Schizosaccharomyces pombe: one gene and its partners. Changing the gene in region 2 together with the main gene of any one other region gives a genetic interaction. Each region holds a gene or a part of one and is shown on either strand. Other genes may lie near its edges. The genes, in order: maf1, trm1, frs1 and frs2.

Region 1 (8,035 bases), on a different chromosome or scaffold from region 2:
GGACTGCACTTCAAGAGCAACCGAACCCGTCTACCTGCAAAACGTACCTACACAAGAATTCTGCAGCATTAAAGTTTATATGGCAGAGCAATGGAGAAGAAGAGTGAGTCACCTGGTTCCTCTCCACATACTGGATACTGTTGATTTAGGTTCATTTGCGAACCCATCAATCATTTTACTTCTCGACATACTGTTGCCAATCTAAATTACTTTCTTTTCATACTTGTTCCAATTGCTGGTTACCTGATATCCTCTCTCGTCTACCTTAATCCGATTAAGTGCGATGTATTTGCAACATGCACGTGTGCATTGTAACCAGCCTCATTCCGAGCCTTTCCGCTTATTTATTTATTAAATTTTTAATGTATATTCGTTATTTAATTAATATCTAAGCATGGATCGTATGGTTACTAACTTATTTCTTACTTCATCCCTGATAATGACGGATAATAGATGCAAAAATGAATGGTTTGGTGGTGGCCAACGAAACAATCGACACTGCTACGGCTCTACTAAAACAAGTCACGTTCAACGGTTCATCGGCTAATATTAACTCAAAAAAAAAAAAGAATAAAATAAGTATAGTTCGGGGTCCGAGATTTCTTTGATAGTCCCTTGGACATTCTATTTTAGCATTTCAACTAACAACTGAAAGGGCCGGAAAATCTTTGAAATTTTTAAATCTGTTTAACTCATCCCAAAGTAATTGAGTGTCGGAAAAGAAATGGCCCGAACGGTTTTATGAACCGGTCCCTACTAAAGAATAACAAAATTCAAATATTGGAAAGGCAGGTTTTGGTTTTGAACGCAGTTGTTGGATTGAAAATATATTCCATTGTACTTTGTACTTGATAATCAAAGTAATCTTGTTGTTGATCATTAAAGGCGTATCAACAGTGTTGGGGAAAAAGTTTACCTTGAATCTTATCTAGCAGCGGAAACTAAATAATTATATTTATTAAATTGTTAGACCAGCCTAAAACTATCGGGATTAGCGTTGGGTAAGGGATTTACGGAATATTTACCGTATTAGGTTTTTTTTGAGTTTTAAAAATTTAACTCGCTAACATAACCGAAGCCTCGCACATATAAACTATCTTTCAACCTACTTGACTCAACTTTTCCTTCACCAACCGCAGTGTTGCATTAAGCAGCAAAACGTTGTCACCTTCGAATAGCGTCTTTTTGACGAATAAAAAGGTTGGACAACAAAATTAAATTAAGCAAATTTGTGTATAAACTAACAGCAAGTGAAGTTGTACCGGTTGTATGATTGAAGCATTGTAAACCAAAGAACAGCTACTTTGCCTTGTCGTACATTAGCTTTTTCCTTTGCAAAGAACTTTTAGGGACCTTTTTTTACCACAACTAGAGAACCGGTGTAGAAAGGTGTTCTATTTTAGTGAACGGATTCGTTTAATTTTTTCATTGAGAAAAAAATTTGATCTATCTTGATTTTTTCGACTGTTTCCATTTTTAACTATTTGTGACGTTTCTTATTGCCAAATTTCAACCTTGAGCATTGTTAAAAAAGCTGAATTTAAATTTCTTTGCTTTTAACATACAAGTGAGCTATTGGGTTTGTAAAGATTTAATACTTGATTGGAAGTTTTTTTGGTCAAGTCTGTTTTTTTTGGGTGTTTTTTTGACGATCAGTTGAAACCGCGAATAATAATATTTATTATAACTCCCTAAAAAAAGAAAGAAAATCATTTATTAAATAATTTTTACTTTCCTTCATTGTTTCTGAATTTTGCTTCTCCCTGCCGTTTAATTGTTTCATTTTCTTTTAGAAAGTACTAAAAGGTAATCAAATCGGCTAGTCTTGCAACTGAATTTTCTTTGAAGATAATATCTAGATTTAATTTTTCCCTGCTTGAATTTCCTAAGATCTTGCGTTCGTTCGGACTGAATTGCATAATTTATTGAAGGTCTCCATTCCTGTATACTTACTCGACTACCCATTTATCGGTCAAGCTGTATATATACACGCACAGTCAACTTATCTTCTACTTATATTTATAAAACTATTTATTTTATTTCTCTTTAATCCGAGCTTCGTTAGTTGATTCTTTTGATCTTTGCATTGGTAACTAATCCAGTGCGCTTTTTTTTTTGAATCTTCGTGACAGCTATTTTCTGATTTTACTTCATCTTCAAACTACGATCTGATCGGCTTTGCCTTTCGTCATGCAAACTTATACAGGTATCATTAAGACCCCGTTGGATGCGATTATCCTTTTCGAGGCCTGTCGAATTGGTCTTCTTCCACGCGTCCAGCGTCGATTGTCCGACCATGAAAGAAGCTTGATACGAGCAGGCAGTGTTTTTGTGTGGGATGAACGGGAAGCTGGAATGCGCCGTTGGACTGATGGTAAATCATGGAGTGCTTCTCGTGTCAGCGGTTCATTCTTAACCTACCGAGAAATGGAGGGTAAACGTAAACCTTACCATCACGGTCTTTCCACCGATGGTTCCCTTAAACGCTCTCCCTCTGCAGATACGACTGGTAATAGTTCCCTAAATGCTTACAGCAATGAGGACAGTGGAGCCGCGAGCTTGAGTGATGAAGAGTCGGTTGATGATGAGAACCTACGGGGGTTGCATTACAAACCGAACGGCTTAATTAAGCAGTCCTTTAGTATTACTACCTCCTTAAATCATAAACTTCACCTTATTTCCTATTCTTCGCCTATCCCTGATCCTTCATTAGTCACGCCAAGTAGTGATGTTAACCTTTCACGTATCACTATTCCATATGGACTGTATCCAGACGCGGGTCCACCGCTTGTTCAAGCACCAAAGTTTCTCGCTCCTTATGATATTCTTGTCGAGAAAGTTGCCTGTAGCGAAGACGCGCGCGTTTTGGATAAGTTGCGTCAAGCCCTATGGCTATAGGTTTGATCTTTTTCTTCACATTGGGTCCTACTTCTCGGTTAAAAAGTGTACTAAATTTACTATAGATTTCATTTGCATCATATATGGGGCTTTAACGACTCCCAATCAATCCTAGTTTCCTGTGACATTTTCTCGGCTGCGTTTTCGCTCTTACTAATCTGCGGCTTTGTCTATCAGCGTCTAATTTATGTGGTTGATCAATTTTAATTTCAAGTTACCACTTCATTCTTCAGCACTTACGGCAAGTGATAAAAACAGAAAGCTTGTTTTGATTTAATTCATTAACTAAGTAATCGCTCAACTGTCTTGCAAATACGTTTTCTGTTCGTCGGTTTAGATGTGTATCGTTATCATAACTCTTTAGACATTTCGCTTTACGCATTATTTTGTTTCGTCTGCGAATATCGGAAATGTCCTTTTTAAAGAATCTTTTGTGGTTATTTCATCAATGCTTCCTTTTTTCTCTTTATTATTTATTTCTTTTCATGATGGAAATGGTTAAGTAAACGTCTATCATGAAGCACGGTAGAACAAGTATTCAACATTTGAATTATGCACTCAACATTTCTATTTTTTACTACTCAACTTAGAGCTCATGTTCGGGTAAAATGATAGGAAAGCATCAATTCTTAGGGTAATTTGAATTCCTTAAATACAACTACTATGAAATTAATTCTTTATCTTTTAAGTAAATGCATAGCTTTTATTTGTTGTAAATGAAGTATTTTCAAAGAAAAGGTAATTTTTAAATTGAATAACTGAATACATCATTATGCTATGTCAAGATGATGCTTAATAAGGCTTCAAATATTCGGGAACTTGATGTGAACGTTTAAAGATAGTTAGGCTCAGATGATTAATGAGGACAGATTAAAAAATTTTCCTCTAAGGTCAAATTGCATGTACAAACCTATGAAACAGTTGTTGGAAATTTTTTAATCTATTATGTATAAACACGTGTGTTGCAAGAGAGTAGAAACCGTAGTACAGTCTGGAAAATCTTAACGTACAAATCACATGTGAAAAAATAGGTTCCTTAAAGGATAAAAAACAAAAAACAAGAAGTACCTAAAATGCTGGGGGCATATTTTTTTTTTCAAAAATGCAAAAAAGAAAGGGTTGCTATAAATAATTTGAAATAAACTAATTAACAGGGAGATATTAAAGAAAGGTGAGGTTTCATGTATTTACAATTAGAAAAAACAAGAAAATTTCGAAAAGTCATGATTCTGAAATAATAAAATGAGCACGGTGCAATTTAGTTTGCGAGTTGAACAAAATGTAAAGAGAGAAAAAGAGAAAGTAGCAGAAACCATTACTTCCCAAATAACCAAAAAATTAATCATCCATGTTAGCAACCCAATCGTCATCAAAATCGCTTGGCTCTGCATCGTCCGCAAGTGGTGTAAACACAGAATCATCGTCATTTCCATAACGATTCCGACCCGAGACTTCCTTGCCCAAACCATGAAGTGATAAATAAAGCATGCGCTTCATATTTTTGTTAAAAAAAAAGTAGGACATCCCCCATATTAAAGCATCATCGCCGTAAGGATCGCTGTCGCTATCTGGAGTATAGGAATAAACGCTGCAATCAGACAGGTTGATATGACGGTCGATAATTTCCCAAATTCCATTCACACTCAATCTACCACGACCAATGTTATTAAGTGTAGAATTAACGGAATCTACAACACGAGATAGTGAAGGCTCTTTGTAAAAATCTGTTGGTTGGAGGCTACTAAAATCATGATCGGGATAAGAGGCATTAAGAGTAGCGACAATGTACATAAAGGTACGACGAGAAGAGGACTGATCAAGAGGCCCAAATGGACTTTGCTGAGTTAGGCTGAAAGCATATTCCGGTGATTTACTACTCGATAATGCAAATAGATCCTCCTGACACCGATTCTCTATAGCTTTAAAGAGTTTCTTGTCAGAATTTGTACTCTATAAAATTGTTAGCACATTTTATATATCAGTATATTCATGTCTTGGTAAGTTAATAAAGCAGAATGCTCCCGAATCTAAAAACAGACACTCAGACGCGGTACTCCATTTGGTAAACAACAATCGTAATCATTTTGGTTTCAGATTTGAAACGTAAAGAAACTAAATAAATAATCACAAAAAAAAACAATGATTATATAATTAGCTGATCTTGTACAAGAGACCAAAAAGAACCAAAATTGTTCAACTTAGTGATTTGACCACGCAAGAAAAGAGGATCATTATTAAAAGCATATGTCAAATTCAAGAACCAATGTACAATTTTCCCTTTACCAGACTAACCAAGCTTACAAGTTAAATTTACCTTGGTTGTATAGAGCTCGCACTTTCCGCGTATGCGACAATCATCGGCATCAAATGATAAGGCATTATTGACTGTATCTAAATCGGCAAGCTCAAGAAACTGGTCACAAAAACAGGGTTTAGTAAGACAAATAAAAAGTAAAATATATTTACCTTCATAGTAATTGTAATGTAATCAATTCAATTGTTTCCTTTCATTAAAAAGAGGTTTGCTGTGGTTAGGTATCAGCGTCGCGTCCAACGTCAATGTCACTTCTATTAAGGGTACGTTAATCTTAAATAACAGACTATAAGCTAATAGTAAGCGTAAGGAGTTTGTTAGATGTCGGTTCAACATTTTACCGAAGCTTAATATATTTGAGAAACCATCCCGATGCATTGCCATTTATTTTTTTATGCTGTTTTAAGGTACTTAACCGTATAATGTGTTAAAGTCCAAGTCGAAATGCATTTATTTATTCATAAAAATAAATATTTTAAGTAATTAAAAGGAGTCTAATAAAAACAAATCAGTTTAAAAATATCGATTATAAGTTTTTCCGTATTTTTCTGATGAGCATTGAGTAACTCAATTTTTCAATATTCAATTTTTTCTACAATTCTTAAAAGAAACGGTTCAAGTATCATTATTAACCAAAAAAAAAGTAATAATAATTTATTTAATGAATAATCGTCGCTTCTAGAGTATACTTGTACAATGAAATTGTACATATATATACATATTTTTTTTAAATTGAGCCCATTAATAAACTTGCACAACATACATCAATTCTTTTATTGTATTACTTATTACACTTTTACTATTAAATTATATTTATTTTATTTTATTTTTAAATTCAATTCCTAGTGTAAAATGTATTAAACTGTTTCACCTCTTATCGTACAGTTCAAACATTTTGCTTACACCAACTTACCTTTACCAAGAACTATGGACTACGTTGGTGGTTCTCTAAAACTGAAAAATGTAAAAAAAAAACCTTTGAAAAAGAAAAAGAAGGATTCTAAAAAACTTGCTGAAAAAGTTCAAGAGCATTCTTCCCGAGATAAATCACCTTTAGAAGAAAATGGCGTATCTACGTACCAAATGCTTCGCTCAAAGGATACAGACTCGGCTATGCCGATGACGGAAGCACAGAAACATTTTGAGTCTGTTCAGGAACAAAGATTACTTCAGAAAGCAAAGAATGAGCGATTGAAAACACATAAAGACAGGATTGATGAGTATAATAGACTACTGGAAAGTCAGTCGGAGCATTTTGACATGCCTAAAATTGGACCCGGCTAGTTTTCAAAACACGTCCTTTTTTCTCTCAATAGCTATACTTAAATAGCAATGGATGCCTCCTCTATTCTGCATAGTTTTTCTCCATCCACCTACCATATTCTTTTATGAATTACGCACTCTAATGAAATCACTATTTTATTTTAACAATACGCATTATACCTCATTATTGTTATAGCTATTCATTTGTCTCTAGAAAAAACCTGTTTATAGCCAACTACCACGTAAACGTATACTAGCTGCCTAAGTGAGACCAAAGACATAGAATCTTGTATATTCGTTTTGTATAGTGGTTGAAACATATAGAAAGAACTTCCTTTGAAGAACAAGCACATTATAGTGACCTTTGATTGTTTTTGTCGTCTTACTAAATATCAGTGAACAGCATTAACGTTTTGGTAACTTTATTTAAATACTTATACTGAGTTTCTCATTTAATCTCCAATTACACTTTTATTTGCGGTTATTTGAGAGGAACCCCACTGATACTGATAAACTCTCATATTTCAATACATACATACGAGTCATATTTTTCGCGATGGAATCTTTACAAAGATTGTTACAAGGTGCCCGCATGGGTACTGGTATGATGGGAGATCAGCCTCTTGTTGATAATTCCGAGTGTGTATACATTTCATCTCTAGCTTTGTTAAAAATGCTTCGTCATGGGCGACATGGTACACCAATGGAAGTTATGGGTTTGATGTTAGGAGAATTCGTTGATGACTTTACAGTACGTGTTGTTGATGTTTTTGCAATGCCTCAATCTGGTACAGGTGTCAGTGTAGAAGCAGTCGATCCAGTTTTCCAAAAAAATATGATGGATATGCTTAAGCAAACAGGACGGCCAGAAATGGTTGTAGGTTGGTATCATTCTCACCCGGGTTTTGGTTGTTGGCTTTCTAGTGTCGATATCAACACCCAACAATCATTTGAGCAATTAACACCAAGAGCGGTGGCAGTTGTTGTCGACCCTATTCAATCTGTCAAAGGAAAGGTGGTAATTGACGCCTTTCGATTGATTAATCCGTCTACCCTAATGATGGGTCAGGAACCCAGACAAACAACTTCCAATTTGGGTCACATCAACAAACCTAGCATTCAAGCTTTAATTCACGGTTTAGGAAGACATTACTACTCCCTTCGCATCAATTACAAAAAAACTGAGCTTGAAGAGATCATGCTTTTGAATTTACACAAACAGCCTTGGGCACATGGTCTTTTACTTGAAAACTTTAATTCTGCTGCGGAAAAAAATCATGCTTCTATTGATAAGATGAAATCCTTGTCAGAACAGTACACTGAACGTGTTCAAAATGAAGTGACTTTAAGTCCGGAGCAACTTCGTATTCAATACGTTGGTAAACAAGATCCCAAGAAGCATCTTGACGCTGAGGTTCAGAAATGTATAGACAACAATATTTCTTCCATGTTAGCTTGTATGCTTGATTCCGTTGCCTTCTAGTACATCTATTTTGGTAATACCTCTTTTCCATCATCCGTTTTTTATGAGCTACTTTCTTTCCTTACTCAAAGCATTTA
Region 2 (7,977 bases):
TGAAATTTTGGTCCATTGGGTTCATGCAATTTCTTCCTTCGGGTTACCTCTTCATCTCCTTTATTTGTGTAATTTGGTAAGTATCTAATTAGTTGATTTTCATTCAAAATAACAGGCCTGCCAGCTGTGTATCTTGGACTAGTGATATTGATAAATTTTCGTGTCTGAAGCAACCAAGGAACACTTCGTCCGTTTAGACGCAATCCCATCACATTTATAACTTTTATTGCATTAAAACGATCCAATATCGAGGCAGGACAACATTTCATGAGCAAACTGTTGTTGGACGAGTTAGTACCCCACCAACGAAAGTAACAATACCAAAAATTGTTGAAGCAAAAGAATTAAGAAAATATTTGCACCTTCTTTAAATAATTATGTAAAAAAGAAGAATACGGTTAAACAATAAATCATTTTAACATTGCTAATTGTGTTGCGGATACTATTAGTTTAAACAAGTATTTAGTATGGAATACACAAACTAAATCTTTTTTGTACTAGCCTGTTTATAATTTGCATAAACCTTCCGAAATAACATAAAGAATGAAATTGTATGTACTATCCAAAAACCTAAAATACAAGGAGTATTTAAACTGTGCTCCACTTTACCTAAGATTTTGAGTCAACTTCAGCGATAGTTCTTTTACCAGGTTTACTTTTTGGGCCCCAATTTTCAGTTGGGTTCATTTGATATCGAGTATAACCTTCTTTTTTGGATGCAAACTCGGAATCGGGCCTGAATGTAAAATCAACCTCAGCTGTGGGAGTTTTTTCCAAAATCGCTGCTCCAGCAGATGTTTTACTAATATTTTCAAGCTTCACTGGATGATCTTTAATCCAAGAGCGCAAAACATCCCAAACGAAGGACCAGGGAGCATTTGTTTTAATTGCATTACTCTTGGCATGAGAACCAGAAACCCGATATCCAGCGTTTAACAAAGCTGAAACAAATATATTTTGAGGAGGAGATTGGGAGCGCAAGACGCTACAAATTTGGGATAAAACAAAATAAAATGGAACATCTGGTAGTTCTTCATCAGCCAAAGCGAGCATACCTAAGATTCTTCGTTTAGTGCCATAGACTTCAGGGTCTAAATCTTCTGCAATGGCGCGCATTTTTTTGAGAAATTCTGCATCATGTAGGGGTCCACCCCATAAAGGGCCTCCAACATGATGCACATATCCACAATGTTCACAGTTAGCAGATACAGGAGGCCCCGAAGCATTAGAGAATTTGGTGGTTCCAGGTAGTCTTCCCGGAGAAGTTTTTCCAAGTGGTTGCTCGGCAAAGCTACCGCAGCCTGAACAATGGTATATCAATAGCGATTGACTTTGTAAATTTTTTACGAGAACAGGCTTTGCTTTAATTTGAACAAATACGCGAAAGTAAAAATCAATACTTAGGGAAAGTAGCGGCTTGATAGCGCGACCATATTTTGCAGCAGAAGCTGCAATAGCATAAAGCAAATGACGAACAGCCTGCTCATGACAAAAATTAGAGCGCAAAGAGGACCCACCATAATTAGAAAAGCATTTCTCTGGATATGCATTACCGGCTAGAACAGCTGAATCAGTACATGTGATGCATAGAAGACCGTCCTTTGAAACGGATTGTACAGCAGCATCCAGAAACGGGGCAGCAGATCCATAAGGATCAAGGTCAATCACATCGTAATGAAATTTGTTCATATGCATAACAGCATTAGCGTCTCCTTTATTAGGAATTACTATATCGCTCACATTATTGTAATTAACATTCTTCTCGATGGTTTTCACAGCATTTTCTAATAAATCATTTGCAAGTATCCTTTTGACATTTGGCAACTCCTTAGCATACCGAATGGAACGCAATCCAGTAGCGGAAAGTGCTTCTAAAATGGTAAATCCAGCAATATTATCAGCTGAAGTAGAATCTGTCTTTTCCGAACAGTTTTTTTCAAAATCATGAGTTGTATCACATTTAGTAAGATTTTCTTGGCTAAGTTCGGAGTTTTGATCGAGAAGCTGATGCCGGTGATGAGATTTTGCAACAATTTTTTTGGATCTAGTTTCCGACCAAGCACGAATAGCTGTAACGCTTAAATCTCTATTAAATTGTTGTACGGGGTTATAAAAGACTTCATTCGGATTTGAAAATGGTATAATTGCACTACCCTCGGTCAAACTTGCAGAAGCCCCCGACATCATGGCGGTTGAGAAGTGATTCACAGCATTTGAGATCCTTTGACTTAATCTTAGCATATTGGCTTCATACATTTAATACGAATTAAAGAAAAATAATCGTTAAAAAAAAAGAAAGTATTGATTATTTTTGAGAGTAAATTTGCAGTAATTCATTAAAAAAATACGAGATGTGATAAGTCAACCATAAATCGAATTACAAAGTATTGTATAATACATGTAATCTTGTAGGTTTAGGTAATTGACAATAAGGATAATAAGTAAATGGTCTTTTAGTCTATGACTGGAAAATAACTTTTCTTAGACGTAGTAAATTAATGAAAAAGAGAAAAGAACTTGAATAGAAATACTTCAGAAATTAGAACTTCGTCATTACATTCACTGAAGTAGCCATTTAGATTTGTAAAGTATAGAGTAACGAAAATCTAATTAAACATATTAATTTATTATTGCTAAATAGGTTATCAGTAATCAATAATATTTTTTTTTTGCTTTAACTTATCTAAAAACCAAAAATAACTAGTCATCTAAAAGTCCTCATCGATTGTAAATGTATGATCATCCTTCTCAGCGCGCTTGGTACCCGACATAACGCCAGCAATTTGGTAGTCAGAAACTTTCTTTTCAAAGAAATTTGTTTTTCCTGCTAAAGAGATATTCTCCATGAAATCGAAAGGATTGGTTACGTTATAGTACTTGTCATTGCCCAAAGCAACCAACAAACGATCAGCAACAAATTCAATATACTGACACATCAAATCCTTATTCATACCAAGCAGACTAACGGGAAGAGCGTCCGTGAAGTATTCTTTCTCAATATCAACAGCTTCAACAATAATGGCTTCAACAACCTTGCGGCCTGGTCTGTGCTTCAAATGACTAAACATCAAACAGGCAAAGTCGGTGTGAAGACCCTCATCACGACAAATCAATTCATTGGAAAAAGTAAGACCAGGCATAAGTCCACGTTTCTTAAGCCAAAAAATAGAGGCAAACGATCCAGAAAAGAAGATACCTTCTACAGCAGCAAAGGCAACCAAACGAATTGCATAGGTGGAATCTTCATCATTAATCCAACGAAGAGCCCACTTGGCTTTGGCCTTAATAGAACCCATTGTTAAAATAGCATCGAAATGACGCTGTTTTTCCTTAGGTTCACGAATGTATGTATCAAGCAAAAGTGAGTAGGTCTCAGAGTGAATATTTTCAATCATAATTTGGAAACCATAAACACAACGAGCTTCAGGGATCTGAACTTCAGAGCTGAAACGCTCGAGAAGATTCTCATTAACAATACCATCTGACGCAGCGAAATAGGCGAGTACAGTGGAAATAAAGTAACGTTCATCAGCATTTAACTTGTTATCCCAATCAACCAAGTCTTTCGAAAGATCAATTTCCTCAGCAGTCCAAAAAGATGCTTCAGCCTTCTTGTAGAATTGCCAAATTTCGTGATACTTAATTGGAAACAAAACAAAGCGGTGAGGATTAGGGCGAAGCACAACTTCATCAAGCTCATCTTCCTTTTTGCCCAAGTAGTAGTCGCCTCCTTCCTGTTTCTCTTCTTCACTTACATTATCAAAGTTAAAGGTTTCTTTAATAGATTTAACATAAATTTTACGAACACCTTGTTCGCTATCATACTCGACTTCTTCACCATGTTCCTTAGGATAACTGAATTCTTCGAGATGCTCAAGGCCCATTTTGTAAGATTAATAATGAGATTTCGTCCAAACTGACCGGATTTATCTGTATATAGAATAAGTACAAAAGTTTTCTTCCACCGCGATTATCTCTTGCGATGTGGCTTCCCAAGATGTGTTGTGGTTAATGGCAAAACTTTCAAAGGTAGGTTATCCAATGTAGTGCACAGTATTGTAGTATATTCAACACCACCGTTTTTTTTGTGGATGTTAATTTGTCGCACTTTGGGTATGATAACACAATGAATAAGAGTGAAGGCAAAATAGACAAAATGCTGCCTTATTTTACAGAGTGGAAAATTGCAGTTAAACTAAGTCAAAGGCTGATGGAGATGAATAACGTTGAAAAAAAACAATGTACTAATTAATATTTGGAGACAAACGCAACGAGTAAAAAAAATGAAATAAATTCGAAGACAATCTCAAATTAAATGGGAAAAGCAAGGGCTTACTTCCTTTCCCTTCTGGTGTGTTATAATAACGGTTTCTTAAAGCAGGAAATTGTAGCTAGTTAATAGAAAAATGTGATAGCTTAAATCGAAGAATTCGATGCTAAGCGTGGAGTCGAATAAATTCAATTATTTAGGCTCAAATAATTGAAAAAATAGAAATGAATTTATTACTTTATGTAATAAATAAATTATTAAATTTCTCACTTTTTGTTATAATTTAATAAAGTAGTTTTCAGTGTAATACTTAAGACGCGTCAGGGTACCTCAATTTATGTTGTAGATGAAACGCAATGATATCAGCCTAGTAGTACGATATGATGTTAGAAATAAATATCTCTTCACAATCTCCTTTTCATCCGAGATGTAGAGCGCTTTATAACTGCTCAAATATTACAAATCACGAAACTTCTAATGCGACGCGACCGTACATAAAGACATTGCTTAATTAAAAAAAGATAAGCGCGACAGAGACCTAGCCACATACTGTGAATAATTTTAATACCTTGATCCTTTCGTAAAAAAAAAAAGAAATACTTATATTCGTCTATTGTAAACAGAAAATAAATAAGCATTCCAATAGCACGTTTCTATTGCGTGTTGTGCTTTTAGGTACAGTTTACAATGTGGTATAAAACAATAAAGAATTTTCTATATTCATTCTTCACTGATGTTTGAAATAACCGAACAAAAAATAAAAAGTTCCCTACTCGAAGTTTTTATATTGTTGATATCGCATTTCTTTTGAGAATTTCCCTGCTAACTTACTTCATAAGTTTTCAAAAAAATTTTTAAAAATAAAAGTGAAATAAATTTTAGGCAGTAGTCTAAATAACTCTCATGTTTAGAAATACAAAACGTGTAGAAGAAAAATAGGAAAAATTATGGATAGCTAAAATAACAATCGATTGAAGCAATGAAAACAATTAGACATACATTTATGAAAATAAAATGACCAATTTATTGTCTGGCAAAATGATTATTATTAATTTAAAACAAATAAACTGTTTATTTATACATAGTGAATACTCTCCAAAAAAAATTTCTAACAGTACTACATAGTGGCTTTTAAAATCAAACTGAATGTTTACTTTTGCTGCGAGAGTAATAAATTAAAAAGGAAATATGTAGAGAATCAAAAAAATTATACACTGCAATTTCTTTAGAGTCAATGACAATTTGTATATGCCCTAAGTTACAATATTTACATTTTTGTTACCTTACGAGTTCGCGTTGATTCATACTACCAACTAACTAAAACAACCTAAAGAAGAACCTTTCTTGGTATCTTACCCTTACTTAATACCCTTGCTTTCTTTTTGAACCTTTATATTTTTTGCTAATTCAGCAGAAAAGTTTTGGGATACTTTTTTGGTTTGAAAAGCATGGCACTTCCCACCATAGATTTAAAAATCCCAGAGTATGAAGAATGTCAACATAAAATTACGGATTTTCTATCCCACTTCAAGCAGGAACAGGTTCAAGATGGACAACAAAATCAGGATATTTCGATGTCGGATGCAGGTGATGAGCCTTTTTTAAAATCAAAGTATATGGATATACTACAAAAAATCTCCAATCGAGAGTCAAATGTTATTAATGTTGATTTGAATGATTTGTACGAGTTCGATCCAAGTGATACTCAGCTTTTGCATAATATTGAATCTAATGCTAAACGGTTTGTTGAACTTTTTTCGCAGTGCGCAGATGCGTTGATGCCTCCTCCTACTGTGGAAATTAATTATCGCAACGAAGTACTTGATGTAATTATGCAGCAACGTGTTCAAAGGAATGAAAATATAGACCCTGAGCATAAAGGATTTCCTCCTGAATTAACCCGAGGTTATGACTTATACTTTCGACCAGTAACTCGCAACAAAAAACCATTCAGCGTTCGTGATTTAAGAGGCGAAAACTTGGGATCTCTTTTGACTGTCCGTGGTATAGTTACTCGTACAAGTGATGTTAAGCCTAGCTTAACTGTAAATGCTTATACATGTGATCGATGTGGGTATGAAGTGTTTCAAGAAATCCGTCAGAAGACATTCCTTCCAATGTCTGAATGTCCTTCGGATGAATGTAAAAAGAATGATGCAAAAGGTCAGCTTTTCATGAGCACAAGAGCCAGTAAATTTCTTCCTTTTCAGGAAGTAAAAATACAAGAATTAACGAACCAAGTACCTATTGGCCATATCCCTAGATCATTAACCGTCCACTTATATGGTGCTATCACTCGCTCTGTAAATCCTGGCGATATCGTTGATATTTCTGGTATATTTTTGCCGACTCCGTATACTGGTTTTCGAGCAATGCGCGCCGGGCTCTTAACCGATACTTACTTAGAATGCCATTATGTTTCACAAATCATTAAAAATTACACAAATATTGAAAAAACTCCTCAATCGGAGGCTGCTATCGCTGAATTAAATCAAGGAGGCAATGTGTACGAAAAACTGGCCAAGTCCATTGCTCCCGAGATATATGGACATGAAGATGTTAAAAAAGCTTTACTTCTGTTGCTTGTCGGAGGTGTTACTAAAGAGTTAGGGGATGGAATGAGAATTCGTGGTGACATAAATATTTGTTTAACTGGTGATCCTGGTGTCGCAAAATCTCAATTATTAAAGTATATTTCGAAGGTTGCCCCGAGAGGAGTATACACCACAGGTCGTGGATCTTCAGGTGTTGGTTTAACTGCTGCTGTAATGCGTGATCCAGTGACGGATGAAATGGTTTTAGAGGGAGGTGCCTTAGTACTTGCTGACAACGGTATTTGCTGCATTGACGAATTTGATAAGATGGATGAAAGTGACCGTACAGCAATTCATGAAGTAATGGAACAGCAAACTATTTCAATTTCAAAGGCAGGAATCACTACGACTTTAAATGCTCGAACAAGTATTTTGGCCGCTGCGAACCCCTTATATGGACGATATAATCCGAAAGTGGCACCAATCCACAATATAAATCTTCCAGCTGCACTGCTTTCCCGGTTTGATATTTTATTTTTAATTTTAGATACTCCTTCTCGTGAAACAGACGAGCATTTGGCACAACACGTAACATATGTTCACATGCATAACGAACAACCTAAAATGGACTTTGAACCATTAGATCCAAACATGATTAGGCATTATATTTCTTCTGCTAGACAATATCGCCCAGTCGTACCAAAGGATGTATGCGACTATGTTACTGGTGCTTATGTTCAACTTCGACAAAACCAAAAGCGTGATGAAGCCAATGAGCGTCAATTCGCTCACACTACTCCACGTACACTTCTCGCTATTTTGCGAATGGGACAAGCATTAGCTCGTTTGCGTTTCAGTAATAGAGTGGAGATTGGCGATGTTGATGAAGCTTTGAGATTAATGTCTGTTTCAAAGTCATCACTATACGATGATTTGGATCCTAGTTCTCACGATACTACTATTACCTCGAAAATATATAAAATTATTCGAGACATGCTTAATAGCATACCAGATGTTGAAGGCAATGAACGCTCACTTACACTACGTGCTATTCGTGAACGCGTACTTGCTAAGGGTTTTACTGAAGATCATTTAATAAATACAATACAGGAATATACAGACCTTGGTGTTCTTTTAACTACAAACAATGGTCAAACAATAATGTTCCTCGAT
Region 3 (8,543 bases), on a different chromosome or scaffold from region 2:
TTGGATTGCCACACTGCTCACATTGCTTGCAAGTTCGCTGAGCTCATTGAGAAGATTGACCGTCGTTCCGGTAAGAAGATTGAGGAGTCCCCCAAGTTTGTCAAGTCTGGTGATGCTTGCATTGCTAAGATGGTTCCTTCCAAGCCCATGTGTGTTGAAGCTTTCACTGACTACGCTCCTCTTGGTCGTTTCGCTGTCCGTGACATGCGTCAAACCGTCGCTGTCGGTGTCATCAAGGCTGTCGAGAAGGTTGCTCCTGGTGCCGCCAAGGTCACCAAGGCCGCTGTTAAGGCTGGTGCCAAGAAGTAATTTTCATAGTAATTTATGAAATTTTGCATTTAGAATTGAAAAAAAATCTCATATTTGTATTGATTTAAAACTGTAGCTGCAGTAAGTAACGTAGAATTGTTTTTAGTGTGTCAAGTTGCTAAAAGATGTTATTTTTAAACGAAAGTAGTCCAATACCAATTGAAAGTACTTTGTGCTCGTAGGTTGAGATGTTTACAGCACTAATTTTAAGCTAGTTTATTTTATGTTCCTTTTTTTTTAATAAAAGTAATTGCCTTTTAATTTTACGCTTCCAATTCTAGTTAAAGCAAATATAGCGGTACTGCAATGACAGTTGCTTTTCCTTTTTAATTTTAGAAGACCGTGTCTCATACACGTGTTCGATTCGACACATGTTTTGCTTATCGATCCGTTATTTTACAATATGAATATACACATTCTCAAATGAGCTTTAAAAGATACCTGTTAGCTGCAACATCAAATATATAGTCAACTGACTAGCTCAGTTCAGTTATAATATCATCCTTTGTTTATATTATACCCACAACACTTCTTATTGTTCAATCTTCCCAGATACTGCAATATAGTGTACACCACAAGTAAAATTCACCGCAAGCTAACGTGCCATTAAACTCGATTACACAGTGCGCAGTTAATACGATATAAAATTAGCGAAACACAATAAATGGCCTTGAGTTTGATTTCAAAAAAAGCAGTCACATCTTTAACAACACAACTCAACAGATGGTCAACATTTCTTCCAGCACACAATGTCGGAATTCCAGAAGGTCGTTGTGATTGACGCTAAGGGGTAAGAGAATTTGAAAATTCTAATGCTTTTTGAATTGTTTTCTAACAAAATTTAGACATCTCCTTGGACGTTTGGCATCTGTTGTCGCCAAGCAACTTTTGGGCGGCCAGAAGGTTGTTGTAGTTCGCTGTGAAGAATTGAATATTTCCGGCCATTTCTTCCGTAACAAGCTCAAGTACCTTGCCTATTTGCGTAAGGCTTGCCGTTACAACCCCAGCCGTGGTGCCTTCCACTTCCGTGCTCCCTCTCGCATTTTCCAAAAGGCTGTTCGTGGTATGCTTCCCCACAAGACTGCTCGTGGCCAAGCTGCCTTGGAACACTTACAAGCTGTTGAAGGTATTCCCCCTCCTTTCGACAAGCAAAAGCGTGTTGTCGTCCCTGCTGCCCTCCGTGTTTTACGCCTTAAGCCTGGACGTAAATACTGCACCGTCGGTCGCCTTTCTTCTGAGGTCGGATGGAAATACAGCGACATTGTCTCCAAATTGGAAGAACGCAGAAAGGTCAAGAGCGCTGCTTTCTACCAAGCTAAGCTCGCCAAACAAAAGAAGATTGCATCTGCCAAAGCTGCCTCTTCTGTTAACGGAAAGCTTGCTGAATTCGGTTACTAAATGAACGATATTCGTTAAAACATTTTCTTTTTGCCCATTTTACGTTGGTATTTCGTAATATCAGTCTTCCTGTTTTCTGCTTTTTTGTAGTGTAATCATGAATAGTTTAATGTTTTATCCTACAATTTCCTGTAGTTGCTTAATCTTTCAGTAATGGTAGGCAAGATAACTCTAATAGACGGTATTGATCCTCAACAGTTTTATAATTTACTCAAATATCTCACATGGTTACAAACTTAAGATACTTACTACAAAGATATAAATGCATTGTCTAAAAATTTATTTACGGCTTTTTTTTTTTTCCATTACCAATGTTTTATCTAAACCCAAAGTGTCAAATCAATTTCAACAGCGGAAGCAGCAGAAGTGAGTTCAAACTTCTCTAAAACAAGGGGATGGAGAACACCAAATACACCAACGCGAATTCCAGCAGTACCAAAATCTTTACGATAGTACACTGCTGCACATCGACCTGGGAAAAAGGTGCTGTCGTCCTCAGCCTCGATCCAGTATCCCACAGCATCGGAATCTTTGGGATTCATGATGCGTTTAGTATTTAACATAAGCATCACACGATCTAACAAGCCATGAATTTGTTCAAAACCAGAGTTCAAACCTGCAAAAATGGCGCAAAGATGACGCTCATTACGAGTCATGCGCTCTCTGGAATAATCACAAAAGGCTACGTCGCTGACTTCAAATATTTTAATCGGTAAAGCATGATTTTTGTTCTCGCGAACCGTTTTCAAAATACCAGGAAGCAAGCTTGAACGAACAACTTGAAATTCTAAAGTCTTGGGATTTGCAAGTTGAACAGCTTTTGAATCATCAGTCTTTCGAAGCCATGCATAATTCTCGTCATGGGAGCAAAGGATGAAAGGCATGACCTCGGACCACCCAGCATATGCAACTTCATTACGAATAATGTCAGCTAGTCGATTAACCTCAAAAGGCTTGCCAAATGTAACACTATGAGCAGGATAAGTGTGTTTCAAATTGTCATATCCATAAGCAATGCCAAGATCCTCCATAATATCACACTGGTGAAGAATATCAGCGCGCAAGGGTGGAACGTATACCAAAAGAGTCTTGGAATCATTTGGGTTGGGCTTTGCTGTAAGCATCATTCGGGTCAACAAATGACAGATCTCATCTTCGGGAAGGGACAATCCACAGGCTTCGTTCAAATAGTCGATATCAGCTTTAAAACATGTAGGATTCAAATTAGGAGTAACACGAGTACACCCATTGTGCTCAGATATGATATTAACAGGCTCAATGGTAAAAGGCTCTTCACAGTAACAAGAGAACATCGTGGTCATCATGTTGACAACAATTTCGAGTTTAGTTTTATCGGTTGCGGTAACATCGATGAAGATGTCCCGGGTATCCACACTGATCTTACTGAACTCACTATTAATGATAGGGGGAAGTGAGCAAACCCTTCTCTTAGCATCCAAAATTACAGGATATCTGGGAGAGTTGGCAATGATGTGTAAATAACGGGAAAGATGTTTACTATCCTTGTAAAATTCTAATAAATTAGAACCATTGATTTCCTGGGTTTGATTCAAAGGAACGAAATTGATCTCTTCGGGTTTTAATGCCTCGTAGGTAAACGGACCTTCCATTACAGAGAAGTCATGGGTACCAATGGCTACAAGGGTACGGTTTCTACACAAATTTGCATGTAACTTGTCTTGTAAGGCAATGAAGCTCTGGTAACGAATGGGATCAAGCTTCACACCTCGTAAGATAGCTGCAGCGGCATAAGGACGAATTTCCGAGGTTTCAGGGGAAATTGTGAGTGAAGTGGTGGAAGGAAGTAATTTGTATTGAGGAGTAGCCATGCGACGATTAAACACATTCAAAGCCTGGGCGATTCCTTCTAAGCAGAGCATATCGTAGCGATTTGCCGGAATGTCAATTTTTAAAGAAGGACGCTCAGAAGGACTTCTTTCTGGGTCATTTGTAGTGTCTTCATCAAGCTCAATTCCAAATTGGAAGCAGAGTTCATCAAACTCTTGAGTTGCTACAATTATGTTAAATTTCGCTGCTTATCAACAAATCATCTTTCACTTACTGTACTCTCTTCCTAGGGCCTTGTACAGCTCTTCCTTGTCACAGCTGATGGTAGGCATTTCCTCAAATTCAAAAAGCTTCAAAGGATCTGTGGTGAACGATGGGCTTGCCTGAACCGGGCCTACTTTACCACACTAGGAAGGGTGATCCACTAAATCTGAAGTGACTTGTTACTTGTTTTAGATTTAATCGGCCTTGGCTAGCATAGGAGTTTGGTAGGAATATATTCGTAATATAATAAATTAATATTCATTTTATACTCTGAGATATTCCATAAATACAAAACTCACGAGCTACTGATTTGTACATGCTTCAGGCCCCTATTACTAAAGCTCGAGATGATAAAAGGTAATGCAACAAATTCATAATAGCACAATTGCAATATAAATCAAACTTCTTTTGATTTATAGTCTTCTAGTCATATATTTTAAAACAACCGGCATGTAATAGCCGCATCATGAATACAATGATTTTCATTCAACAATAAAAATTTTAAGTGGTAGGTGAGATGACGATGCTGCAAATAATACCTACCTAGTAGAAATTATTGACTGGTGTACCCTTTTATCAAAAAATGAATTATAAAGGTGCCAACCACGACTCACAATTGATGAAGTATTTTGTATTTTTCTAGTGAAACATCGTCAAACCATACTTTTTTTAAGTTCAGCAAAGCCATAATTGAAAATTCTATTTAGAAAAATGGTGCTTATAATACTTCAAGCAGCCTTCATGCCAAAAAGCTCCTTGACTCCGTATGAGCATTTCAGCAGGTGCCAAAGTAGCGACGGAGTCATCGGCAGATAAACCACATAAATGACAAGTGTCCTTATTATCTCCTAAATTGTCTGGTAAAAACTTGACTTCAATCTCCTGAGTTCCCGAAATTTGCTGACGGGACAGGAAGCGCAGACGAGGAAACAATCGCGCCCATGCATTTACGACCTGTTGAGATTTCCAGTAATTAGGATTGCCTTTCCTTAAACAACCCGCAATACACCTTTGAGCAACCTGTCCTGCAGCGAACACCCCTTTGGTGTAAACCTGAGTTTTGGGGTTGCTTAACGCCGTTTGTTTTTCAGAGAATGATAAATTCGACAACTCTTCAAAAAATTCGCTCGGAAAGGCCAACTCATGTTCAACAAGTAAATCAAGTACCTCTGTCGCAGACACCTTTCTCAATGCCTGAGAACCAGGTATAGGCAAATCATCTTCCAAATCTAGTAATGCTATTGAGTCCAGGTTGATACGATTTTATTATTAATTTCTTTAAATCGTTTTTTTTAGAAAAATTCTTTAACAGAAAAGAGAAAAAGTACCTTCACTTAGTTTTTATACGTGAGTTCTTTTTTGGTTATAGTTTGAATCATGAAGGGTTGAAAAGTCCATCCTGGACAATTGAGGGAATACTTAGTTATGAACAAGTAAAGGCTTTGATGGGTTTTGTTAATGCCAAGCATGTTCGAAGGTTAAAGAATGAAAATGATCGGGTTGATGACCTAGAACATGACATCTCACCGATTCTATCGTACCCTTCGCTTTACTGTTGCAATAGCGATCAAGGTGAATTTTTACGTGAAACACAACAATACAAAAAATTGCAAAGAAAGATAGCAAGAATTAAAAATGTTCTCAAAAGGAACGAATTACAATATTCATTAGTACATTAGAAAACAAGCAAATAACACAATGATTTAACTTAAAGATGCAAAGACACGATTCAAATCGGCAATCAAGTCAGCAGCGTCTTCAATACCAATGGACAAGCGAACAAGTCTAGGATCAATCTTGGAATCCGTCATTCTTCGCCATTCAATCAAACTTTCCACACTACCCAACGAAGTAGCGTGATGGAAATATTTCAACTCGCAGCACAAATGCTTAGCAACTGTGTCAGATTTAAGTAGAACAGAAAAGCAAGATGCATGACCGCCAGTCAAATTTTTAGCGACAAATTCCTTGGTCTGCAAGGAGTTATGGTAAACCTCCAAAATCAGGCTACTATCAATTCCTAGGCTAGTAGCAAATTGCTCATCGGTAGCCAACTTGTTCAAATGTTGGGCAACCAAAAATCCGTTTTCACTGTGTTTTGCGATGCGAAGAGGAAAGGTACGAAGAGAGCGCAAGAGTAAGAATGCTTGCTGAGGATGTAAAATTGTGCCAAGATAAGCACGATCTGCTTTCAAATCAAGGATCTTGGATCTATCTTTCGAGGCTGTGACTCCAGCCAAAACATCGCTGTGGCCGGCTAGATATTTAGTCGCCGAGTGAACTACATAATCAGCACCTAAAACAAGTGCATCCTGGATAGGGGGTGGTGCAAAAGTAGAATCCACAACAAGTATGGCACCCTTCTTTTTTGCCAGTTCCTTGTAAAAAGGAATGTCAAAGGCAATACCTAAAGGATTCAAAGGAGTTTCCAACCATATAACATCACCTTCACCGATGGCATCGCATTTGCCATCAATAAATGAGGTTTCTAAACCGGTTAGACGATTGATGCGTGCAATAATTTGGATTGTGCCTGAATAACCACCGAAACCGGGTTTATGAACGGCGATGTGTTTGGGATTTAAATACGACAACAGTCCGTAAATAGCAGCCAAACCAGATGAGTAAACAACAGAAGGTGCACCAAGAACACTGCTCAACGAAGCTTCAGCTCGATCAACATTGTTGCCGCTGATACGGGCATAGTATGGAAAGTCTTCCTCCGCTAGTTTGGTGAAAGGCTGAAGAGTGTCAGGAGTACCGGGATAAGTATAAGTAGTAGAAATATGGATGGGAGGAGCCACATCATTTTCTAATGCATAAGCATCATCGGCATGCAGTACATTAGTACTTAATGTGGACTTGATGTCAGAGAGATCGAACGAAGGAGTGTGAGTCATGCTAAACTAAAGAAAAAAAAACAGAGATGAAATGCAGAAAGGTCACAACAAATGAATTTCGAGAAAACTAGTGTTTACACGTTTACGGAATTAATAATGTTTATATCTAATTGAATGCTCCTACACTAGTAATCACCAATCGACCAAAGAAATAAGTACGAGATCAAACGACAGATACCTAGTTATGATAATTCTTTTAAAGACTTATATCTCCGTTAACTAACGTAAAGAGTTTGGTTAAAGACAAGTTGTTGTGAGACATCGCGGGGCATGTGCCTTAATTTATATCGTTATGCTTACGTGCTTGTAAACACTATATTACGCATTTGAAGTAGAAAGCACACAAACAAATAGAACCAGGACACTGAATAATTAGAACGTTTGGTTAATGAATTTTTACATAAGCAGTTATTAGTTTTAAGTTTATAGGTTTAATGGAGTTTGCTATCCGATCTCAGATTCTAGGCGTTCGTACCGGACCCTAGAAAATATGCGACAGACTTAACAAGATGCGTTTCCCAATTAACAAGCGCTCTAGTTTTTATTAGGAATTCAAAGAATACTGCTCTTTTTGTACTGTGGTCAAACAAATGGTTTTGACAATCAAAGAGGCATATACAATAAGAATGATTTGAAATGCAGCTGCATGCCGACTGTCGCATATTTCGTGAGCAAGAACTCATTTTGTTTACGGAATGGCGTTTCCCATTGAGTTACAAATACTATAGCATTACTATCATCAGCAAACTTCTACGCCATTCAACGTTTTTATTTAAAGAGAACAACACGTAAATAAAAACCAATCGTATAAGATAAACATTAAAACATAAGAACTACTTTACAAAGACTTTTTCAAAATAAAATTGAGAAAAAGGGCGAAAAAATAATTTCTCGTATAGATACTTCGAGCTCGATGGGAACGAGCCTCAAAAAGCCTTGCTTTTAATCTCGCCTTTCTTTTTAATAAACAATGCATTTTCAAAATCTCACCGAAGAAACCAAAGAAACATAGAAAGAATAGGCCAGACAATTCGCTTGAAGAGAAGATAGACAACCACAAATATGAAGAACCCAAATCCCGAGACGACTAAAAAGTAATCACTTCGATCACTTAATTTGAGCGATTTGATTATCCGTTTACTTGTATATAAAACGTCCTCTACACCAAAATATTTCTCTTGTAGAGTTTCTAACAAGTTGGTACTCGAAGACAACTCCATTGCATTTTCGGCACTCATATCCACTGCCTGTACCATTTGTGCGTGAATATCACGCATAGCCGCCGTGACCTGACTGGCGCTTGTAAGATAAATATCATCAGATTGCCACGAACCAGAGTTATCCATTGAACGCTTTTGAAGAGAACCATCACTTGGTGAGGTAATTTCCTCTTCATCTACAATCTTACCTATTTCTTGTGCGATAGGCAACCATGGTTCACCACTAGCAATCTTATTCCGATATCTTCTGTTCAACCGAATGTATTCTTGTACAGCCTTTTCATATCGTAGAACTGAGTCTAGCTGAATGGATGAGTATTCAAGCTCTACCCTTGCAGTTTCCCATATTTTTCTAAACTCTCGAAAATGCCTTTTAATAACTTCAACGCTTTCTGACTGTTGTAATTCAACAACTTTTTCTTCTAGTGCATTCAGAACGTCGGCCATCGAATGCTATGTTCTCTGCTTTATTGAACAAGTTAAAGGAGAAATAGTATTATGAGATGCAAGAGGAAAGAACGATAAAGGTAAATGATGATGAGTGGGAAACGAATGATGGATGCACTAACAATATAGCACAGCTGAAGGTGAATATAAGACTATACATCGAAAGGTTCGGTATATAGAATAAGGAAAAGAAATC
Region 4 (8,466 bases), on a different chromosome or scaffold from region 2:
CTTAGCATCAACAAGCTTCTGATCCCTACAAGCTTCGCAATACCATGTACCTTCAGGAGGAGCTTTAAGACCAACACACTCCATATGGAACCATTCACGCTCACAATTAGCATTGTCACAAGCGACCATTTGCCCATATGATCCTTGCTGGCAAAAACAATACTTTTCATTATCCTCTTCCATATCTTCTTCTGAGACCATTTCATTCGGCGTTGTGGAATCTGCCTTAGTTTCTAACTGGGTGGTTGCAGTGGCATTCGAAACCTTCTGACCGCGAGTTGAACCAGAATCTGCCAACGAAGCCGTATAAGGAGAGTGATAGACTCCATTTTGAATTGCACCCCTGGTAGTTGCTGAAGTACGACGGCGACCAGCTGTTGAGGCTCCCGACCGAGAAGGGGCCGGTGTTTGACGAGCACTTGAGGCACCACTTGGACTGTATCCACCATACGGTGAAGAAGCATAGTAGTCAGGAGCATTTAACAATTCCGCAGCTGTAAATCCATGACCGGCCTTTGCAAGTCTATCATCCAATCGCTTTATGTGCCGTGTAAGTCCCAATCTGGCACGATCCGCCAACTGGACTTTCTCGTTCTGTATATTAATTGCCTTTTGATACTCCTCGCGAATCGTCGAATACAAAGCATCTTCTTTTGGATGTGGGGTCAAGGAACCATGTGATTTAATGTATGACTGAATCTGAGAATCAGCTGCTTGAATTCTCTTCCAGATGTCATGTACAGCAACTTCCTTCACACTAATTTCGTCAAAGATGTGTTTTGTTTCGTTGGGAACATTATCCAACGTTTGCAAATACTCACTTAGTATGTAAGCTGTATCATCTGCCATTATTCTCAAATTGAAAATTATAGATACGTTCTAATTTCCGCTTTATGCAAAAATTATTATTATGATTTCAAATTCCAAAAGAAAGGGAGATTTGAGTCTTTTAAAGAGATAGGGAAAGTTGATATTCCACTAATATTTTCGATACTTCAATAACTAATGAATAAAAGATACTATGACTTTATCTTTTAAAGTAGAGGAATGTGACAATAAATGTACAAACGAGAAGGACAAAGACACTAATTGAAATAATATATATGAACCTATGGCTCGTTTTTGTGTCGTTTAAAGATTATTTTTACACTCTCTTAAGCTGCTGAAAATTTTTCCGGTTGTTTATAGTAGCCCACATTTGGTGTTGAGTTCCGCCACTCCATATAATGTAAACACAGTACTGGAAGGCAAAGAGGGCGAAATAAAAACATAAGAATTCACGCAAACCAAATCACTTTGAAGATAAATCTTTTCAACGTATGTATGATATCTAAGTTGCCAAATTGTCTATGAATTCACATGCTAAAGGTTACCATCTGTTTAAGTAATAACGATACGTTATTAATGTGTTAGTTCATATATGGAAGCATAACATACTAAACTACACCTAAGTTGGTAGCTTCCTTCTGTGTTCACTGAGATATACATTTTTAAGTTATAAGAATGAACCAGCACTAGCAATTCTTCAAAAAATTGTAAATCCTATTTGTTCTTGTGTTTATGGGCTTCAAAGAGTTTGAATTAACGCTTTGTTGAAGTTGTACATTTTATCTAATAAGGTATCGGGTTTAGCGACCTTTTGCTACGTATTCTGCGCTCGACGTAAAAATAAAGTATTTACAGTTCGTGTTGCTGTTTATTATTTGGATTGAATTCTTTTCTATAAAAAAATCTGGGTTGTTTTTCGATTTATATTAATTTGGCATTGGTCAATAACTTTCATTTCTCTTGTTTCTTCTGAAACAGTTATTAATTTGTTTCTTAATTTTATTTATTCTTTTCTTGTTCTTTCTTTAGAAAAGATATTTTCATTTAATTTGTCTCGCGGTTTTTTTTAGTATAATAGTCTGTATATCATGGATACTCCTGAGACATCCACACCTTATGAACAAGTTGAAAAGGGGTCTTTTTTTAGCTTTCGACCTCAAAAAAAGCGTGTCACATATCACTTAGATGAACAGGTGGGAAACTACCACTATGGTGACAAACATCCAATGAAGCCCCATCGAATTACCATTACAAATCATTTAGTGATGGGTTATGGGTTGCATAACAAAATGAGTGTATTCAGCCCCCGGATGGCAACTTTTGGTGAAATGTCAGAATTTCATAGGGAGGATTATTTGGATTTCCTTAAGCGCGTTACTCCTGATAATGCTGAACAATTTGCTGATAAGTTCCAACAATTCAATATTGGTGATGACTGTCCGGTCTTTGACGGCACTTATGAATTTTCTCAAAGGTCGGCAGGCGCTAGTTTGGATGCTTCTCGGAAGTTAGTGCAAGGTCAAACAGACATTGCTATCAATTGGAGCGGTGGTCTCCATCATGCAAAGCGTGGTGAGGCTAGTGGATTCTGCTATGTTAATGATATTGTTCTAGCAATTTTGAACATGCTACGGTTTTTTCCTCGCGTTTTGTATATCGATATCGATATTCATCATGGAGATGGTGTGCAGCAAGCATTCTATGAATCTGACCGCGTGTTGACGGTTTCTTTTCACAAGTATAATGGTGATTTTTTTCCTGCAACTGGTAATTTTGATGAAAATGGCGTGAAAGGAGGGAAATATTTTGCTTTAAACGTTCCTTTGGAAGATGGTATTGGTGATGAACAGTACACTAGTCTTTTCAAATCCATAATTGAACCAACTATCAATACTTTTCAACCTTCTGCAATTGTCCTTCAGTGTGGTGCTGATTCGCTTGGTTATGATCGGCTCGGCGTGTTCAATCTGAGCATCCATGCACATGGGGAATGTGTTAGATTTACCCGTTCATTCAATATACCCATGCTTGTAGTTGGAGGTGGTGGTTATACTCTTAGAAATGTTGCTAGAGCGTGGTGTTATGAAACTTCCATATGTGTAAACGAACAAATACCTTCAGAATTACCTCGTGAAACTTTGTATTACGAATTTTTCGCACCAGATTACACCCTCCATCCGCGATTAACCACGAAGATAGAAAATAAAAATACACCGAAAGCTCTTGAAGATCTTCGAATACGGGCCTTGGAGCAATTACGTTACTTAGGAGGAGCGCCAAGCGTTCAGATGCAGCAAATTCCACCAGACTTAACTGGGCATTTGGAAGAAGAAGACGAACGGTTGAATGATGAATACTTAGACAAAGCTGTGGATGTTCGCGTTCGAGGCTGATATTAATGAATTTTCGACTTTTTATTTGATATCCGTACAAACATCAAATAATTTTAGTTAATGTTTATAGACATTGTAAATATTAATAATTGACCCTATACGAAAATACGTTTACCATAGTGATTATGTATTATTTTTATAAACGATTATGCAAAAAAAAACACTAAATTTATTCCTCTTTGTCTAAACGAACTGCAGGGCTAGCCTCAATTAGGTCCAAGTTAACCTTAGGACCAATCAATTGTCTAATGTCGGCCACACCATATTTGATCATAGTGGGGCGCTCTAAAGAAAGACCAAAACCTAAACAACGAACATCTTTAGGTAATCCCATAGGCTCTAACATCTCCGGACGGAACATGCCGCTGTTTCCGACTTCAACCCACTTACCAAGCTTTTCGTGGTAGGAAAAGACTTCCAATGAAGGTTCAGTATAAGGATTATAAGCAGGTTTGAAGCGCAAATTTTTAACGTTCATTTTTCCAAAGAACACCTCAAGGAAACCGATCAAATCACCGAGGGTAATATTTCTATCGCAGATTACGCCTTCGACTTGATGAAATTCGGCAAGATGAGTTGCGTCAACGGTTTCATTGCGGAAGACCCGATCAATTGAGAAGTATTTAGCAGGGTGAAAGCCATTTTGGGCAAGTTTGTACAACATATTCGCCGAGACAGCAGTAGTATGAGTACGAAGAACTAGTTTACGAGTTTCCTCCAAGGAAAAGGGAGCACGGTATCCAATGCCCTTAGTCTCACCACCGTTTTCGTGAGTGGCCTTTACTCGAGCAACATATTCGGGATCTGGCAATTTATCAGTAGAAGCAGGAACTTTCAAAAAGAAAGTATCTTGAGCATCCCTTGCTGAATGTTGTTGGGGGACAAATAAAGCATCAAAGTTCCAAAATCCACTTTCAACAAAATTGTTGGTTGGCATTTCTTCAAAACCCAATTCGAAGAAAAATTTACGGAATTCTTCACGTACTTTCATCAAAGGATGAAGACATCCACCAGCTGGAGGTATACCTTCAGCTGCAAAGTTGTAAGATTTAAACTTGGCACTTTCCCATGATCGAGAGGTGATCATCTCAGCAGTTAAATCGGTGTTCAGTTTTTCAATTTGAAGCGAGAAATTTGGACCTTTCCTCAAAGAGAAGTACATAATTTTGTTACGTTCAACAAGCTTTCTCTTCTTCAAATCAGTTAACGTCTTACTGTCAGAGATAGTTCCATGTTCCTTAATTTCACTAAGGACCTTAGGGGTCTCATCTGTAATGGAATCAGTCTGGTCAGTTAGTAAATAAAATATTGCATAACGTTAAATCAATTTGCACTACTATAACTTTGCCTTACATTTTTAACAAGCTTGTCTCCATCTTTCTTAATCCAACCGAGTTTAAAGGCTCTTCCTTGACCAATACCAGCCGAATTCCCCAATTTTTTCTAAATCAGTTAGAAAAAGTACAAAAAAACTAAAAGGCAGACGTAGCGATATGAAAAGGTGTTGCATCAAAACGCGAAAAATCGAAAATGCAACATAATGCTAGAAAAAAAAAACTAACAATATTTACCGGGCGTTTAGACTTAATTATATTTAAATGCTTCGTCGTTCACAACTACGATTCCAATGACTTTACCTTGAGTTCCCCAATATTTAAACCGCTCATAGAAGCGCAAATTTCATTATAAACTTTGGCTTCATGAGAACCATTTGCGCAAATGTTTTCACCCTCTGCAGTCAAATTGTAAATTTCAATTTCATGTCTTGAAAATTCAATCATGTTTTTAGCAGCTAATGACAAAATCGCCGATTGAGCTTCTTGAGGACCTAACTTCTTCCCATCGAATTCCAAATGACTGGTGTTTGGAATTTCATTTTTTTCGTTTAGCTTTTCAAGCAGGAAAACTTGAAGGGCTTCAAGCTTTGACATCTTACAGCTTTGTTGGTGTGTTGGCAGTAGGTAAAGTAACTGGCGATACGCGAGTGCTACGGTGAAACGGTGAGCATCGGATTCAAAGCACTACACATTAAGCCGTCGTTGACAAGTTTATGTTTTATGTACTACTAAAATTTATATATGGTAAGAGCATACAAATTATGTCAGATAGAAAATGTTCGGGACATCCTAATTCAGATTATCCATCTCTGTTTGAAATCGCTGATATAGCTACGATACTCTAACAACATCACGAAAACAGTAAAAAACGTACTTATGAGAATTCTTTTAATGTCAATTAAAAAAATTGATCGATTTAGTATAATTAAACTTGGTAAAGAATAGAAAATTAACAAAAATGAATAACAAAGAGTGATTATAGGCATGTATAGCCAGTTAGTGGTAAACATTGATTTACCCGACAAAGTTCATCATTTGAAGCCAAAATAAAATTGAGGGATTAGCTTATACAGCTGAAAAAGAGGTTTGGTGGGAGCAACCATTGATATCGGAATTCAACAATATTATAGAATATAAACAAGGTGGAGAAAACCAATGTAGCTTCGCAAATTAGTTATATCAACATTTGTTGCTTTAACGGGTGGAGAATTGTGTCCGCTGGACGCTAAATTCCGCATCTTCGATAGCCCGTAAAATATCTTTAAAGCATTTGGCCGCAGAAAAGGCGAGATCAGTCAGAGGGGGTACGGAGTTGTTGTCTGTAAATCCAAAGTTTTCACCATGTCCTTCTTGCTCAATTAACTGCATGCAATATCTTCGCATTTCCTGAAGAGCGTTATGAATTACCGCGTACGCGGCACGATCCCGCATAAGTTCTAACGGTGAAGATACATCAAAAAGTGTGTCACGTATAACGTTGATGTCTTCATGAACTCTTTGCTGGATGGTAGACGAAGAACTATCACTGCTAATAGCATCCAAAAGCTTTTGATTGGTCTCACTAAATTGTTTAGATTTTTCGGAAAGCAAGGTTTTTGCAACAGATAATGCCTTCAAATCGTCAACCGGATGAAGTGAATTTCTTCCGACCGAAAGAGAAGATTTTCCCGTGTTGGTAAGTCCATAGGTTTTTGCAATGTCCATAAGACTGATACTTATAGAGCAAGCAGAAGCATCGACGTGATAAATGGGAAGTAAGGCACCATTTATTACAGCGAGTCTTACTTGCTCCATTAAACTATTTGTGAACGAACATAAATCATCAACCTTTTTTCCTAAATCGGGAAGCTCTTCTAAAAGCGACTTCTCCCGCAAACTGGAAACAATGGCTTCCAAAGTCAAAGCAATATCCTTAGCAGTAGACATCCACTGAGAAGGGCTATCCCTTCTTAAAGATGCCACAAAGACATTCATTTCAACGAAATAACGAATATAAAGCTGTTCATCTAAAAATCCATTGGGTGAAATCAGTTCCCGAATAGACTTCATTGGAACAGTAGTCATGGTAAACAATCTTATATCTTCGTCAATTTTTGCGGACTTCGCGTTGATAGCAACCTTTTTCCAGCGTTCCGTTTCGGCCTTCAAGGAGTCAATACAGCTTTCCAATTCGACAATGTGCTGGGTTTTTGAAGATTCGGCAACAATCAATTCTTGCATTAGCTTTAGGTTTTTTTCCAACTCAGGATTAAAACTAAGCGTTGGGTTGTTTTCGAGCTCTTTTATTCGATTTTCAGCATCGTTTAGCTTTTTTATTGAAATTTCAGCCTCATGGGATGCCTCATGAAGCTTTTCCTCCAATTGAAAGATTTCATTCTTATGTTTCGTAGCATCAGAAATGCTTTTGGCTTTTAAAGCCTCCATTTCAGATTTTGAGCTGTCAAGCAAAGAGTTCGATTTTGCCAAACTACTTTCCAACATCTCAATTCTACTCAAGTAATTTGACGAAGAATCAATTCCCGTCTGAGCACCCTGGCTCAATGACGAGGTAGAGGAATTATTTGCTTGAACAGTATTTAAAGCATTGGTATCTGGAACATTCGGTAGACGATGAGACAAGGAAGTAGGAGAATCAGTATGCGTTCTATTAGCATAACTTGGTATAGTGGGAGAGCTTGTGGTTCTTTGTTCAGTTGGATGAAGGGAAGCGGAAGAGGCGTTGGCACTGCTATACAGATCGTGCTTGGGAGCGGAAGCAGGTAAACGTTGCACCTGAGGAGGAGGCTGAGAAGCAGCTCTAGTCATGTTTGGTGGTGTATTTGAAGAAACTTCTTTTAAAGCACCACTATATCTTGATTGAACTTCAAAAAACACATCCATACAAAGATCCCGAAGCCTTGTAGGAGCAAGACTAGAAAGTTTTTGTCGAGCATGATTCCGCTTGGGATGATAAGAATCAACAGGAGGTAAGAATCTGACTATAAGGGGTTAGAATTGTAGACTCATAAGAGTGTAAATCAAAATACCTTTGGGATCATTGTTGATCCTACGCTGTAGTTCATCAGCAACGTCTGTTAAAAGTTCACTGAACTGAATATGAGACAAACGCTGAAGCTTTTCACGTGGCCTCGCATTGGCGTTCCTTAGGGCTGGGTCTATAAAATAGCGTTAGAGGTGATTACATTGTTTCCGTGGGTCAAAGCAATTGTACAGCTTAATTTTAAACCAATTTTTAACATACCTTTAACAAATTCAGGCTCTAAGTAACGAGCTAAAAACCGATATTGACGAATAATAATACTTTGCATAGTTTGAAAGCAAATTTAAGACTAGGGATTTGAGGAAAGAAGTTGGAAAAAATGAGCTTTCTATCTTTTTCAGGGAATTAAATGATATGTCCTTTCTTTTACGCTGACTTGAAAAAGATAGACTGTGTAAATTAACTTAAGGCAGTTGTACTAATACAATGGGCAAGGACGTGCTGGACCCTAAATTAATTTGATATAATTTTTCTGTGAATTAAATTTTTAAAGAAAAAGTCTTTAAAATGCCTAATGTACTGCCAAACACATTAACAGGCAAACGAGTGCGAAGAGAAATCTTCTATCTAAAAATATTACTGACAGCTTTGCGTCCTTGCCAATTTACTGTGTTTATTACTTAGAACGTTGTAGATATACTAGGAGAAAGGACATGCTTTATTAAATTCGATAACGACGTGTAACGATAAATGATATTAAAAAAAATGAATAGTATACAATACAGGAAGTTTAGGATGGTTAGATTGAAAGTCGGCCATTATAGAAGGGAACAGCTCTTCCAATTTATCCTGTGCCTCGGTTAATTTGTTGACTAAATCGAGAATGGCCTTTCCACCTACGCTGGCCTCCTCATGGTTATCTTTAATG

The links.
Region 1: of trm1 (region 2) and maf1, changing one suppresses a phenotype caused by changing the other (phenotypic suppression), as found in Schizosaccharomyces pombe (one study listed by BioGRID).
Region 3: of trm1 (region 2) and frs1, changing one suppresses a phenotype caused by changing the other (phenotypic suppression), as found in Schizosaccharomyces pombe (one study listed by BioGRID).
Region 4: of trm1 (region 2) and frs2, changing one suppresses a phenotype caused by changing the other (phenotypic suppression), as found in Schizosaccharomyces pombe (one study listed by BioGRID).

The regions. Positions count from the first base shown.
Region 1 is NC_003424.3:3,003,948-3,011,982, forward strand, and holds maf1 (RNA polymerase III-inhibiting protein Maf1), read right to left. Parts: upstream 5,432-8,035; 5' UTR 5,371-5,431; coding exon 5,365-5,370; intron 5,333-5,364; exon of another isoform or gene 5,312-5,332; coding exon 5,213-5,311; exon of another isoform or gene 4,849-5,212; coding exon 4,237-4,848; 3' UTR 3,637-4,236; downstream 1-3,636. Other genes in the region: cAMP-independent regulatory protein Pac2, read left to right, coding at 2,191-2,898; SPOM_SPAC31G5.21 (FAM32A family protein), read left to right, coding at 6,140-6,496; 19S proteasome regulatory subunit, ubiquitin-specific protease subunit Rpn11, read left to right, coding at 7,032-7,958. UniProt on the Schizosaccharomyces pombe protein: Mediator of diverse signals that repress RNA polymerase III transcription. Inhibits the de novo assembly of TFIIIB onto DNA.
Region 2 is NC_003423.3:3,717,662-3,725,638, reverse strand, and holds trm1 (mitochondrial tRNA (guanine-N2-)-methyltransferase Trm1.1), read right to left. Parts: upstream 2,257-7,977; coding exon 610-2,256; 3' UTR 501-609; downstream 1-500. Other genes in the region: mrh5 (RNA helicase), read right to left, coding at 1-269; ribonucleotide reductase small subunit Suc22, read right to left, coding at 2,709-3,884; MCM complex subunit Mcm7, read left to right, coding at 5,719-7,977. UniProt on the Schizosaccharomyces pombe protein: Dimethylates a single guanine residue at position 26 of nuclear- and mitochondrial-encoded tRNAs using S-adenosyl-L-methionine as donor of the methyl groups.
Region 3 is NC_003424.3:4,096,276-4,104,818, forward strand, and holds frs1 (phenylalanine--tRNA (Phe) ligase beta subunit Frs1), read right to left. Parts: upstream 3,885-8,543; 5' UTR 3,849-3,884; coding exon 3,791-3,848; exon of another isoform or gene 3,740-3,790; coding exon 2,028-3,739; 3' UTR 1,971-2,027; downstream 1-1,970. Other genes in the region: tef102 (translation elongation factor EF-1 alpha Ef1a-b), read left to right, coding at 1-309; rpl1602 (60S ribosomal protein uL13), read left to right, coding at 1,059-1,099, 1,155-1,707; SPOM_SPAC23A1.14C (cystathionine gamma-synthase-like protein), read right to left, coding at 5,484-6,680; SNARE protein Sec20, read right to left, coding at 7,667-8,347.
Region 4 is NC_003424.3:3,168,194-3,176,659, forward strand, and holds frs2 (phenylalanine--tRNA (Phe) ligase alpha subunit Frs2), read right to left. Parts: upstream 5,178-8,466; 5' UTR 5,153-5,177; coding exon 4,859-5,152; exon of another isoform or gene 4,665-4,858; coding exon 4,575-4,664; exon of another isoform or gene 4,507-4,574; coding exon 3,391-4,506; 3' UTR 3,351-3,390; downstream 1-3,350. Other genes in the region: png1 (chromatin modification-related protein), read right to left, coding at 1-849; class 1 histone deacetylase Hos2, read left to right, coding at 1,917-3,221; spa2 (GTPase-activating protein), read right to left, coding at 5,753-7,536, 7,585-7,713, 7,800-7,866; RNA polymerase II CTD phosphatase Ssu72, read right to left, coding at 8,295-8,466.